Linked DNA regions of Lonchura striata. The protein of the gene in region 2 purifies or fractionates together with the protein of the main gene of each other region. This does not show direct contact. Links are inferred from orthologs where the notes say so. Each region holds a gene or a part of one and is shown on either strand. Other genes may lie near its edges.

The links. Proteins that work in one complex are often made in the same cells at the same time.
Region 1: the proteins of KCMF1 (region 2) and ABHD10 purify together in Homo sapiens (affinity purification with mass spectrometry; 3 studies listed by BioGRID and IntAct, counting the BioPlex papers as one, with this or other methods). This does not show direct contact. The link is inferred for Lonchura striata from reciprocal best matches to the Homo sapiens genes KCMF1 and ABHD10.

What each region holds. Positions count from the first base shown.
Region 1 is NC_134604.1:3,863,794-3,870,849, reverse strand, and holds the start of ABHD10 (palmitoyl-protein thioesterase ABHD10, mitochondrial), read right to left. Parts: upstream 3,016-7,056; 5' UTR 2,999-3,015; coding exon 2,923-2,998; intron 2,837-2,922; exon of another isoform or gene 2,543-2,836; coding exon of another isoform or gene 2,482-2,542; intron 1-2,481. Other genes in the region: PHLDB2 (pleckstrin homology-like domain family B member 2), read right to left, coding at 7,003-7,056. UniProt on the Homo sapiens protein: Acts as an acyl-protein thioesterase that hydrolyzes fatty acids from acylated residues in proteins.
Region 2 is NC_134642.1:4,691,399-4,698,374, reverse strand, and holds the start of KCMF1 (E3 ubiquitin-protein ligase KCMF1), read left to right. Parts: upstream 1-3,970; 5' UTR 3,971-4,087; coding exon 4,088-4,103; intron 4,104-4,600; exon of another isoform or gene 4,601-4,929; intron 4,930-6,976. UniProt on the Homo sapiens protein: E3 ubiquitin-protein ligase which accepts ubiquitin from an E2 ubiquitin-conjugating enzyme and then transfers it to targeted substrates, promoting their degradation by the proteasome.

The sequences.
Region 1 (7,056 bases), on a different chromosome or scaffold from region 2:
CATAATCAAGAACTGGGAAAGAATCTTGTGACCAACTTTTTCATCATTAGCATGAAAAAACATAAGCATTGTTTAAACCAAATGAAATGAATAACATCAAACACAGAAATTAACATAGGAAATGCTAACTAATTAATAATTCTGCTGAATCTCAACAGCTGCTACAGGACTTAATCTAACTTTAGCAGTCAGTTTTACCTCTACTGCAGGTGAGGACAAGTAATTTGTAGAGAGCTGTTAAGGAGACTTAATCCACTCTATTATCCAGCTCAAGAAGGTAATTTGTTAAACTGAAAGCTTGGTCAAGTCTTCTAACACTTTGACACTCTTAATTCTTAGATTAGAAGATCACTGGCTTCAGCAGGGGGGCAAAGAAACTATGTAACCCAAAATAAAGCCTCAGGGCTTCCTAGGGGTGGATAAATAGTGCAAAGCCCAAGCCTGACAGTATCACACCACTTAACTGTCCTGCAGCCTTGAATTCTGTCTTGTCACTATCAGAGATTACATAGAAAAGGTTTTTGGGGGTTGGTTTGTTAAACTTGGATGTACATGAGTAAGTGTGGATACATAACAGATACAGAGTGCAGCTAACATTCAGAACTTTCCTACAGTCCAACAGAAATGGCATCATTTGAACTATAGATTAAAACCATTAAATTGCTCCTCAAACAATGAGGCAGTTCTTTATCCTACTGAGGTATGAGCTGTTTATAAAGGTGAATGACTTCCACAGTGGAGGTATTAAGACACATCCACACTGTGGCTTGTGATTCATGAGTGTCTTTGACTAAGCCAGTCACTTCTTCAGGGCCAGTAGAGTGCAAGTGTCAGTAGGACGAGAAGAACCAAGCCCTAAATTTAAAAGAAAAGTAACTGGAAATATTTTTCTCCCCCTTAAGCCCTGATAGCCATCTCTGAAGCCACTTGTCTTCCATGCTGCAGCACTCTGGAGGTGTCTTCAAATTACTTTGGCACTGGCAGGATTCCAGCTGCAGCCAGAAGACAGAACTGTCTTAGCTATTTCACAAACTATTATTCCATTTAACAAGTTAATGGAAGCACCAGCAGCAATCCTAACCTGAATAATGCAAACCCCTAAAGCAACCACTGCAGCAAACCCGTAAGCAAAGCTCAATGTAGTCACCCTCTCAGATTTCTCTTTAGACAGACAAAACCATCAGCAGCTACCCAGTAATTTCCCCTCCTGATTTTAGGGAAGACCTTGGTAAGAGCAGGAAGCATTTCTGAAAGGTGCAATGCAGGTATTAATGTTCATAAAAGCAAGTTACAGACAGAAGGCAATACCTACAGGAAGACAACAGGACCCTTGCCTGATCTGTGGAATTCTCTTCATATCAAAGTGCACTTCTATGAACACCAGAAACTGTGATTGAGACCAGTGTTACATTACACATCAAAGCCAAAGAAGTTCCCTGAACAACTCTGGGAATACTCCTGCACTGAGATCTCCCCACTCCCAGCAGCAACAGATTAATGCTGCTGTGACAGGTAATGCACTCAACTGTGTCCACACTTGTGTTGGAACTCAAAATGTCCCTCAGACATTTTTGGAGGTTCCAGGCCCTGGTCAGAGGCATTTGAGACCCTGGCAGGCAGCTGCAAACAGCTGTGATTTTGGGTTTGAGCCATGGAACGATTTACCAACTTTGCAGGTGGAACAAGGAGTCACAAAAGTTTAGGTATTATAGTAGAAGTAGTTACAAAGTAGAGGGAAGAATTTTTTAGTACTGTACAAGGGGGTTTTAACACCTGTACAGCAGGGTTTTTACTTTGTACATGAGGGTCAGAAGTTTTAAGATGGAGGAATGTAGGCCGGTTCTGTTCCTCCTCTTTCTTCTTCCTTACCTCCATGTTCTTGATGATGTTGGCACTTAGGGGTTTAGAGTAGAAAAGCACCATTTAATATAGATAGTAGGTATTGGGGAAAAACTGTAAACATTTATCATGTAATGCACCATATAAAGGATAGCAGCAGCCCTGGGTGGGAGAGAAGAAGACAGCAGACAGAGAGGATGTCAGGGTGTGTGTGTGTGTGCCTCTGCTGGAGTTGCTGACCAAACCGCAGTAACCAGAGAAGAAAATCTTTTAGATAGCTTGCAATAAACTGCCTTGAGACCAAACTACAAGAGGCTGCTGAGTTTTCTTTGGAAGCACGGGTTGGAGGAGAGACTTTACCACGACACGGAACCCCTGAACCAGGCCAGGACTCGGACACACTTGGTTTAATGCAACCACCCACATTCCAGCAGGAACTGCTGCTCGGCCTGGTCCCAGAGCACCTAAAGACACACTCAAATAACCAAGATATTCTGATAATATTACTGTTACAAACACACAGAAAAGAAGAAGAACACAGCAACAAAATCCCCCTGTAATCAAGCTTTCATGCAGCTACAAAGCGTGCACCCATAGTGGCAATTAAATTTTACTCACTGAGCAACCTTAGATGAGACTCACCCGTCCAATTAAGGGCAATTAATAAACTGAACAGCTCAGACAAGCACGGGGTGCGACACATCAAGAAGGGCAGTGTTTGGGCAGAGGCGGACACCAGCAAAGCTTTCCGTGCGCCTGGCGGAGCTTTGCCTGGTTTCACACCAAGGAGCGAACGGGCGCCCGGCTCCTCCACACCCAGCAGGGCCGAGAGCTTCGAGCCAACACGACACACGCAGGAAAGCGGCTGTGCACAGCCACCGAGCCAGGCGGGGAGGAGAAGCCGTCAGGAGCCGCGCGGGATGAGCTCGAGATGCCCATCCCCACAGAGGGCCGCGCCCCGGCCCTTCCTCACGGAGGCGGCGCTGAAGGGGAGCTGCCCGTGTGCGGCACCGACACACATCCCCTCCCCTCCGCCCGGCAAGCCCTGTGCGTGCTCCGAGCTCGCCGCGGCCGTGCCCTTACCCCGGAGCGGTGACAGCGCTGGCCGCAGGGCGGCCCGGCCGGGCCGCAGCAGCGCCATGGCCGCCATGGCCGCCATGGCCGCGCATGCGCCGCCCGCGGGGCAGCGGCGGGCGCGGCCTGTGAGGGCCGGGCCGCCTGAGGGGCGGCGGGCTCTGTGCGATAAAACCAAAACACGAACCGTGCGCGGCTCCTCCGCGCCTGCCGTGCCTCGTAGCTGTCGTGTGTGGTGAACCTAATTCGCGCCATTACATATGAAATGTGTAATGTTGGATACTTGTTTGGATTAGACGCGCACCCCCCCCCCCCCCCCAAACTCGCAGGCGAGACCTGGTGAATATGGGAATATTGGAAACTGATTTAAAAGGATGTGGCTCAGGAGATGGGCCATGTCTGGAGAGATATGGGGACCCCAGGTGCTGATCAGCGCATAAAAGACCCGAGATGGATATTATATTATAGAAATCCTCGGGCAGGTGCAGGTGAATGCAGCGTTCCCCTAAATTTCATCAAGGGATTCACCAGCTCCAGGACACGGAATTGTTCTTCCTCATCACCAAAAAAAAAAAAAAAAAAGAATAACCTATGGATTCTGAAGGGAAGAAAAGGCTGACTGCCGAAATCTTGGCCTCAGGCAGAATTTTCCCTATAAAACCCGCCTGTGCCAGGATGGAGGTGTGTGGGCACAGAGGAAAACCTCTGCTGAGGCTGACTCTTTGTTGCGCACCCAAGATCCATCCCCGGGCTCAGCACTGTTTTTTTTGGGTTTTTTTTTGTTTGCTGGACAAATTTTCATTTATAACATAGCCAAGAAGGGCAAAGGTGTACTTTGGGAAGAGCACTGGCAGCACTGCAGGGAGGTGGTCCAGCCCCTCTGCCCAGCACTGCCCAAAGCGATGCTCAGCTCCCACCTCTGCAGGGCTGTGTCCAGGTCTTGGCTCCTCAGTACAGGAGGGAAAAGAAGCTCCTGGAGTGCTCCAGTGGCAGGCTACGAGGGTGATTTAAGCATCTCTCTTAGCAGGAGAGGCCAAGGGAAAGGCCTGGGCCTGTTCAGCCTATATGGTATTTTATAATAAAATATGCATTAAAAAATGCGTATTTTATGATCGGCTTTTCGCAAATGTTACAATGAATATTATATGTGTAATGTTAAGAGAGTTATTCTGTATTAATTCTCTCAAGTACTGTGTTAAATACAGTTTTTAGGTTACAGCATAATGTTAAAATAGAAATTCTGCGATATAAGATTTGTCACAAGCTCAAGCGAGAAGATGAGATAATCAAGAAACTTCACACAGAGATGTCAGCAAAGGGGGCCCATAAAAAGTTACTGCCTCCTTATCAGGAAAGACAAACATTCTTCCACCTTCTCTCTGTCTTTTTGGAACCACCAAGATTAAAGAGAAGAAGTTGACAAAAACCAGAAAAGTTCTTAATATGCAAGGAATTTATGCATCATGTATGAGATATATGAATATGCAACAGGCTATTGCTTTTAAGGTTATTCTTTTGTTCACAAGGGATGCTTTTTGTGATTTAGTGTCCGAGAGCATCCGGACATCCATAATTCTTTGCTGTTTATTGTCTTGTAATTGCCCTAACTCTAAATTTTATTACTCTAATTGTATTACTATTTTTATAATAATTTTATTATTACTCAACATTTAAAAATTTTATAAACCAAGTGATTAACGTTTTTCACAAGCCTCAAGAAGAGATGGCTGAGAAGGGACCTCATTAAAGATCATTATGATCAGTGCAGACTGATTATAGAAGGGGGTGCCCACCACCATGCTCTACTTATGTTGTCTTGATACACACCACTACAGACCCCACCCCACTTCATTATGATGATGGCAAACTTAATGAAAACAAATCAATCATAAAACCACACTGGTTTTCATTTCCACAGTGAGTTAATACTCCCATTCAGGTCATGTGTAAGTCAAATATTGGGAAAATGTTGAAATCCTTAAACTCAAGCAGTTTCTGGTTTGCAGTTAAACAAAAAAAAAAATCGTCAATATCCAAAGCTGGTAATAAATTTTTCAAACGGGTTCATAAAAAATGAAAAAGGTATTATATTATGTACATGCAGAAAACAAACTACACTCCTAATTTCACTGAAAGAAAGATTATTTTCCATAGCTCTTTTGTGGGAAAATACATGGAATAGTTCAAATGAGTGTTACTGAGAAATACAGTGTTGCTTGCATGACTGCATATAACTATTTAAAAGACAAGCACAAATGTCCCAGGATAAAGCAGCAAGAAAATATTTGAAACAAGTTTATTTTTAAAAATGTTTATTGAAATGCCTTCATTGCATCATGCAGGATACAAAAATCATTATTAGAAAACCTTTATAACTATACTTGGGAATAAAATCAAGATACATCAGGAAAAAATAATAACTGTATAAACAAAAGCAATTTATTTGATAGTGTTTTAAATTATAGATTACAGGCTGTGATCTGCACAGATGATAACAATTACCTTGCAACAACAGTCTCTTCTATGATTCAAGTAGAAACTGATGGTTGTCATGCTAGACCAACCACATCACTTGTACATACCACAGACCTGTTCATTACAGTTACAGGGCTTAAAAAGTATAACAAAAATATTCTGCCAGCATACTTCTATTCTGTTTTCAGTTTATTTGTTCAATTAAAAGCCATTAGCTTTCCATCAAAGAAAAAAAAAAGGCTAATGTGCTTTCTTCTAGTACACAAACCACAGAGCATGTTTCAATTATAATCAAATAGAACCTCTTTAAAGTCATAATATGACACTTTCTTGAAGTTCATTTCAATTAAATAATTTATATTTTTGCAATATTATTCAAGAACTTGGAGGTGATTTTAAAACGGGAGACTGCTGCACCCTCAGTATTTTTGCTGTTTTAGGAATCTCAATCCCTACTACTTCAAACTTCCAGGTTTTTTATTCATACACTGCTTAGTGTAAACTCTTAGAACTCACCTTTCTATTTATTCTATTTGACAGCATTATTCTGTGCAGATATACATTAAAGAATTCTCTGGGAAAGCTTGTCTCCAAAGAGTCCAGACACGCAGAGATTTTGGTGCTGGCTTCAAGGCAGGCAATATTTGAGAGATTTCAATAGTGTTCACTTGGCACATAGTAAGATTAGAACCACACTGGAACCTTACGATATAAAAGAAAATTCCTGTAGAGTCCAGAATCATCTTATTCTGTTCAACAGGGAGGATTAAAAAAATCCCTCTTTATGAGGCAGTTAATACATGTGTTTCCATTTCTCAACCTTGTGGAAAAATTGCATCTTTATAAAGCTATCCATCTTGGGTTTCCTTTTTTTTTTTTTCTTGCTGTGCTCCATAGATACAAACCTTAAACACGCAGTTGTTTGCCACAAAGTTTTTGAGCATACAGAATATAACAATTTAATTACATTAAAAGTCATTAAGAGTTTTGGCACTGTCCCCTTACAGAAAGTTAGGTATAAGTAACAATATGAAAACGTAAGGGAAATCATGTAACTCTTTGGCTCTGTTGTAACACTTAACTACTAAGGCAAGAACTGTGTACCTTAGGACTTCTTTTTTGTTTGTATTTCTATAAAATACTTGACTAAAGTTTTTAAAAAGTCACCTAATCATCTATAAATGCCAAATTTTGCATATTAAAATATATGCTTATTACACCTTTTTGTTTCACTACTAGAATTTTTTGCATACCAATGAGAACACACACACTTGTAAATTGTTCAGTATAAATTTACTAAGACATTCTCTGTATAAGAGAATCTGTAGAAACTTATCATTCAATCAAGATGCTGTAATTAAAATTGCCTGATTATCCATTTTGGAGCACTATGATTCTCTCAACAGCTTTAGCTTGTTCATTCCTATAAAAATCAATTACAACAGGTAACAACCCTCCCTTTTCAATGCATTTGCAACCCCCGCTCGACCTGAGGTTTTGGGTGCACATCATAAGGAGGACATTTCAGGGTATTCACTGGCTTTTCAGCTGTCACTAGCTATGGCTAACTTCATTAGTTATGTTATTGCAGGATGCCCTATTGCTCCCCTTTTATTATAACATGAAGTGGGTGTAGCCTTCTGCTCCTGTAACAATGACATCCATCCA
Region 2 (6,976 bases):
AAAGCTTTATTTACATATGCTGGACATAGCCAGTAAGCAACAGTATTGTGTTGAACCATTACTGAGCAAAAGGAGGCAGAAAAACAGCAGAAAAGAAAGTGTAGTGGAAGGCCCTGGCATGTACCACTGTACACATTTGATAATTGAGTATGTATGCATCACAGTTCCATATGCGTCTACTGATGAGCAAGCAACCAATATATGAGTTTTGTACCACTGTACTGTTTTAGTTCCAAGTGTGAGCCTGAACCACCAAACCTGCAAAGAGCAATTGTGGCATGTAGTGGGTTGCCCAGCCTTGGTAATGACCTATTCAAGCAAAGTAAAGCATTCCTCAAATAGATGAAGCCTGTTAGAAATAGCACTGAAACAAGTTAAAAACACAGACTGAGGGAGCTTTCAGTAGTTTACAAAAGTGTGAATAATTTTGAGGGCATTAATGGCAATTATGTGTCTCCTAATGTAACAGTTTTAACACTCGGGAGTTCTGCTCTAGGATGTTACTGTTCAATTCAAAGTTCAGTGACCACTGTTCAGTGGTCAAATTTCTGGTCTGTTCCAGACAATCTTTTTACAGTGGCAGAAAAAGGAACTGCATGAGGCCACACAAACATTTCTTCCCTATTTCAGAAGATTTTATGACTTTCAGACACAAATTTTATCATTGTATTATTATATGTTGGGAAAATTCATCAGTTTTTCTGTTTATCACTGTGGTTTATCCAATGGCCTAATTAGCTGTGAGAACTGGGTCTCTAATCCCTTGGCTGGCTCTGACCTTGAGTGACTTTGGGTAAAAAAAAATTATTTCTCAGCTTGATTTTATCCATCACGAAGATACTAATGTTGAATTTTTCTCCTCATGGCTTTAAAGGAACTCTCGCCTATGAATTCTTCTGGTGAATGGGAGAGAAAGAGTAAGAAAGCCAATTATAGCAGGCTCCTTCCTTAGAGGCAGAAAGATTCATCCATAACAAAACTTTATAAACCTAACTAAAATATGTATCTCTCCTTCTGCCTGTGGAATAACAGCATGTGGGTTTGATAAACAGTATTGTTTAAAACCAGGACAGTATAGGTTATTTATCATGATAATGCTAAGAAAATAATATTTTCTACTGGTGGCCATGACCTTGAAAAGGACATTCAAATTCTGTTTTGTACCTCTTTGCACACACAGATAGAGTTGCCACGTCCTAATCACTGAGACCCCAGTTATCTTACATTTGCAGTATTTGCTATATTTGCAGAAGAGACAATCAGCAAAACTCCTTCTGAAGGATATAAAACAGGCGCTGCATATAATGCTGTATGTGCAGGCATATTCTAACACGATTCCAAAAGAACCAAGACTTTCATCTATACTGTGTCTTTGGGTATAGATACAGACCTTAAGGCAAGAAAACAGGAAATAACAGGATTACAGTTTTAATTTTGGACTTCAAGACTACAAAAATGGAGAACACACCACAGAAGAGGCACCATGTGCACTCAAGGGCCATCCATCTGAGTAACACTTAACAGAGGAAAATTTATTGAACTGGTTTTTAACTGAAGTGCGGAGAAACAAAATTATCAGATCAAGGACTTCCAAGATTAAGCACAGACTCTTCCAGGTCCCACTGAAATACCTGGCATGCAGTTCTGTATTTTATCAGACGCATAGGGAGTAGCTCATGTGGGAGGTCATGCTTTTTTGGTAGGATGAAACCTAGCGCAGCCAAGACAGCATTGTTGTGCTCAGAGAGAAGAAAGTTATATTCAGGAGGAGTCAGTCTTTCACAGAAATTAAGTATCTCTAGCCAGCCCAGTTACTAGCTTGCAAACTAGCTTGCTCTTCTAGGAACTGAAAGAGAGCAACTGGTGGTCTGTATTTTCCATCTGGGTGAAGCAATTGCCATTTGCTTTTAATTGCCACTTGCCTTTTTGCATGGTCATGTCTGCCTGCTCTCATAAGAAGTCCTTGGCTCCCATCAAAATGGTTCTCAAAATGATCTCCATTTCCCCCTACAGCTTATCTAATTCACAGGTATTGTTTGCTGTCACTGAAAATGCCCACAACACACTGGAACTTTAGACTTTTAGACCCAGGTTATCATCTCAGTAGGCACTGTTTATGAAAGTGCATGCAGCTAAAGGAAAGCTGGAAGTGAACCAGGTGGTGAGAAACCAGGAATACCTTTGTACCAGGAACAGAGTGCACATGCATGTAAGGTATCAAGCAGAGGCTGTAAAAGGCACGGGAGTGAAGCATGGGAGTGAGGTGGTGCCAGGAATGAGGTCGGCACTTCCTCCTTTCAACACCTTCTGGTTCACTTTTGCGTTTCCCAGCACCTTGATACTTAAGCTGCACTGGTGTGGACCCTCATGGCCTTTGAAACAGACTGAGAAGATATTTCACCAACACAAATGCTTAAGAATTGTTGGGCTGAGACAGACATATGGGAGCTGTGGTGTAAGACAGTAAAGAAGATAGAGGTGTTGGATTGGCAAAGGGAATAGATGAAGGAATGCCACTGAACACAGTAGATGGAAAACTTGGAGAAAATGAAAGCGGGTGGGAGAAGGTAAAAAAGATGTGTTTCACCCATGCTATTATCATGGATGGAATTTAGGGAAAGGCCAGGAAGTCACAGTAAGAAAGGCAGAAACAAAATGCATTATATATGTGCCCAGGGAAGAAACAGGGCCCTGTTGCAGGTCTTTCACTCATCTCAAGTTTGGCCTGCTTCCATGAAGTGGCAGGAAACCAACAATGACAGGACGAAAAGTCCTCGTGGTGTGGACAGACTAACACACTTGTCTGGAGTACAGGGCCTTGAGGGGAAGCCACATGAGAAAGTGGCTGAGGTCCTTTGATCTGTTCATCCTGGAGGAGACTGAGGGGAGACCTCATTGCAGTCTACAACTTCCTCATGAGAAGAAGAGGAGGGGCAGACACTGGTGACCAGTGACAAGAGCTGAAGGCACAGCATGAAGTTTTGTCAGAGGAGGTTAGGCTGGACATTAAAGAGAGGTTCTTCACCCAGAGAGTGGTTGGGCACTGGAGCAGGCTCTCCAGGAAAGTGACCACAGCACCAAGCCTGAGAGAGTTCAAGAAGCATTGGAAAACACTCTCAGGCATACGGTGTCATTTATGAGGTTGGTCTTATTTCACGACCTCTGTTACTCTCTTCCAAGTCAAGCTACTCTGTGGTTGTGTTCTGTGAGTGGGACAACACATGGCACACCTTAGGCATCCTCTTTACAGAGCTGGAGTTTAATTGAAGAACGCTTCTAGCTGCCTTCTGCAGGCCTGACACAGACACAACACGGGGAAAAGAAAAAAAAAACACAAAAAACAAAAAACAAAAAAAAACCAAAAAAAAAAAAAAAAAAACAAAAAAAAAAAACAACAAAAACCCACGAAGACTCCAGCCCTGTGCCTGGAGTCGCAGCACCCCAAATTGACAGAATGAGTAACGCGATCAGTGACGGAACGCCGCCTCAGGGCATGCGCCCAGCTGTTCCCGGCCGCTCTTTCTGCGCTCCTTTTACATTAAAAAAGCTGATTAATGCGTGTCCTTCGGTCAGGCCGGTGCCGGGTTCCGTTACCTCGGCCGCTTCCTCGCCCCGGGCGGGGCCCGCCCTGGCCCGGCAGCCCGCGCGGGAGGGCCGCCGCCCTGCCGGGGAGCTTCCTCTTCCTCCGGCAGCGCGGCCGGGGCGGGAGGAGGAAGGGGAAGGGGCCGGGGCCGGGGCCGGGAAGGCTCCAGCGCGGCCGCCGCCGTCGCTGGTGCGGCAGGGGCGGAGCGGCGCGGGAGGCGGCGCCGGCGGCCGGCGGCGCCCGGAGTCACCGTGTCACGGCGCCCGGGAAGCCGTTGCCACCGGATCCGCCCCCCGCAGGGCGAGCGAGGAGGCAGCAGCAGGAGGAGGAGGAGGAGGAGGGAGGCCGCCTGCTCGCCGCCTCTTGTGTTTTCGCCCCCTTCCCGGCCCAGCCCCGGCCCCTCTCCTCTCGCACCGGGGCGGCGGTGGGGGGCGAGGCCGCAGCGGCGCCCGAGCTGCCCGCCGGAGCCCCGGGACGGGCCTGGGCCGCCGTCTCTGGACTAGGATGTCCCGACATGAAGGTGAGCGGCGCGGGGCGCCCAGGCCGCTCCCGGCGGCGGCGGGGCCCGGCGCGGCGGCCTTGGGGGCCGATCATCATCATGGCGCCGCCGGGAGCGGGGCCCGGGGCCCGGCGGCGGAAGGAAGGCGAGGCCCGGGCGGGCGGGCCGCGCTCTGCAGTGTCATAGCGGGGGAGGCCGGTACGGCCCGCTCGCCGCGCGGCCTCCGCCGGGCGGGGCCGGGGCCGCAGGTACGGCCGGCGGCGGGGCAGCCGAGCCGCCCCGCTCCTCCGCCCGTCCTTCGGGCGGAGCGAGGCGCGGCGCCCTCGGCGGGCCCGGCCGCCGTGGGTGGGCGGTGGCGCGGGGCGGCCCTGCCGACGTGTCGGCCGCCGCGGCGGGTCCCGCCGGGCTGCGCGGCCCCCTGGGTGCCGGGGAGCGGGGCCGGGCAGGAGTGTGCGGGCGGCCTGCCTCTGGGGCTGGCGAGGGCTGGCGTGTGTGCTGCCGGCCGCGGGATCTGCCCGCGTCCCCTCGGTTGTGCCTTGCGGCCGAGGAGGCCGGTGCTGGTGTGGTAGTGGCATGTTTTGAGGCCGCTGGAGAAGCGTGTTCTCTGCGTGCTGCTTTGCCGCTGGTCCCCCTGCGTGTACCGCCGTGCGGGAGTTCACTGGGTAGTTAGTCAGGAGGAGAAGGGTAGAGGAAGAGGTGGAAGCTAAGAAAGGAATTTTTGCAGGAAGAAGATGGGAGTATGCAACCAAGAAAGAGAGAAAGTTGCTCAGTTTTTCCGCGTTTGTTTACCAGCGGGTAAAGTGTTTGAGCTAGTATTTTATAAAACCAGGGTTTATCATCTGAAAAGGTAACTTTATGCATTGTTAGGAACTTCATTCAGTATTATCTTTATTTACTCTAATTTATAATTTCTCCGTTTCATCTTAAAACAGTTTGACAGAAACATTATAGGAGAATTCGGTATTTGTGGCTCATACTGCTGGCTTCTAGTTAGTAGCTTGATTTTAGGCAGTGTGCTATATGTGATGGGTTTTTGGTGTGCATCGCAGTATTTTGCAGACTTCTTGTTTGTGCAAGTATGTGTACACCTCTATCAAAGAATTGTGTTCCCTGAATCTTACTAACTCTTGTTGTTTACTTGTTAAAATCAAAGCTTAGTAAGACTGCTCCTATTTCTCCCTCTGCCTTCATGTTTTCCCAGGAGGGTGGAGATGGATTTTTTTATGGTTAAACATGCAGTTTTTACTGAAATGAAAGAATCATTGATCACAAAGTTGCTATTGGTGGTGGTGTAGTAGGATTTTGCAGTCTGCAAGTATGTGCTGTCATGCATGTACCAAAATGTTCTCTTTAATTCACAGTAGTGGAATACAGGCTTTTCTAACTTGAATAGGTTAAATTTACGCAAGCTTTATCATAGTGATAAGTGATATCATTTGTTGTTCTTTAGTGACTTTGAGTGACAAGTGCATGGACTTAAGAAGTGGTGATAATGTGTTAAAAACACATTCCAGCCCTGTCTTTTTATTAAAATAGAATTTAAAAATAGGTTTTCTTGTGTGTTTCTTATGGAAACTGTAGCATGAATTTTCCTTTCAGTTATTAGACGTTTTTTAGCAGGGAAAATTACATTTCCTGTCTTTGATATTTGTTGGTATTTTTAAAAGGTGTGACTGTTAATGAAATTTGGCTTAATATTCTCTTTCCAAAGCAGATTAATTTAGACACACCTAGTTAGAAAAAAGATAATTGCCTGATTAATTACCTAATTGGTGAGTGTGAATTTTGGGTCCTGGACATAGACTTCTCAGGTGTGTGACTGAACAAACAATGCATTCCTAAAACCATAACAACACTGTGACATTACAAATGACATCTACCACTGTGTCCTTGTGATTTTATTTTAAAAGCTAGTCTGTTCCTTAATTTCTCAATGATTCTTCTCTTCACACTTCAGATATGTTCTTTTAGGAAACTTTAGTTAGCTTAATAGTTAGTAAACTATAGTTTATTCTGCAGGGGTAGAATAACACATATTAGTATGGGAGGGATGGCTTTATGGAGAAGAGGTCTGGGGACTTGATTTTGGTAGAACTCTGGAAAACCACAGAAACTGTATGCTCAGAAAGAAAGGTAATTCTTGCTTCAGAACTGTGCAAGGTTACAGCTGACAGTTTCTGATCCATTATGACTAGTTTGGGGATGGCTGTCTTGGAAGAATATGGTATAGGGAAAAAGCAAGCTTTAATCACATTTATGTTAATAGTTTTCCTGTGTATTTTCTTTAAAATGGTCTGTACACAAAGTTACAAGCAAGATTTATTGATATTTCTTGACAGAATTGGGATGCTGTACCAATTTTATGATGGAAAAGTATCTGGATGTGTAAATGCTGGAGAAGCTAGAATTCTAAAGGCTTGGGACCTGGAAGTAGGCTGTAAAGCATCTGATGGAGATTTACTGTCCATTGGGCTTTCTTGACTGCTTCTTTGGTGTAATAAATTGTACGAAGCAACTGTTTGGGGTATTTTGGTTAGTTGGCTTTGTTGTTTTTTTAAAAGTGAGATTTTGTTGTCCTTCACAGAAAGTTTCACCACGGCCTTCCTTTTCAGTGTGCTTTGATTTCACACATGAGGTCCAGACTCCCGTTTCTCCCAAATCCAGGAAAATAGACACCAACTAGAATTTGAATTAGTGTTGCTTTTTTGGATGTGTTTATTCAATGTTCAAGAGACTTCCTTGGTAATGCTGTCAAGAGTTAAGTACTTATCTCTCAGTATTGCTAGGCTTTTCCAATTTTTCAAAACCATTTTTGCTGTGATTTGGTGTTAAGAGGCTAGCTTTTGGTTTTGTAGAATGCAAAATGAGGTCATTCCCTGGTCTTGGTGTTCATG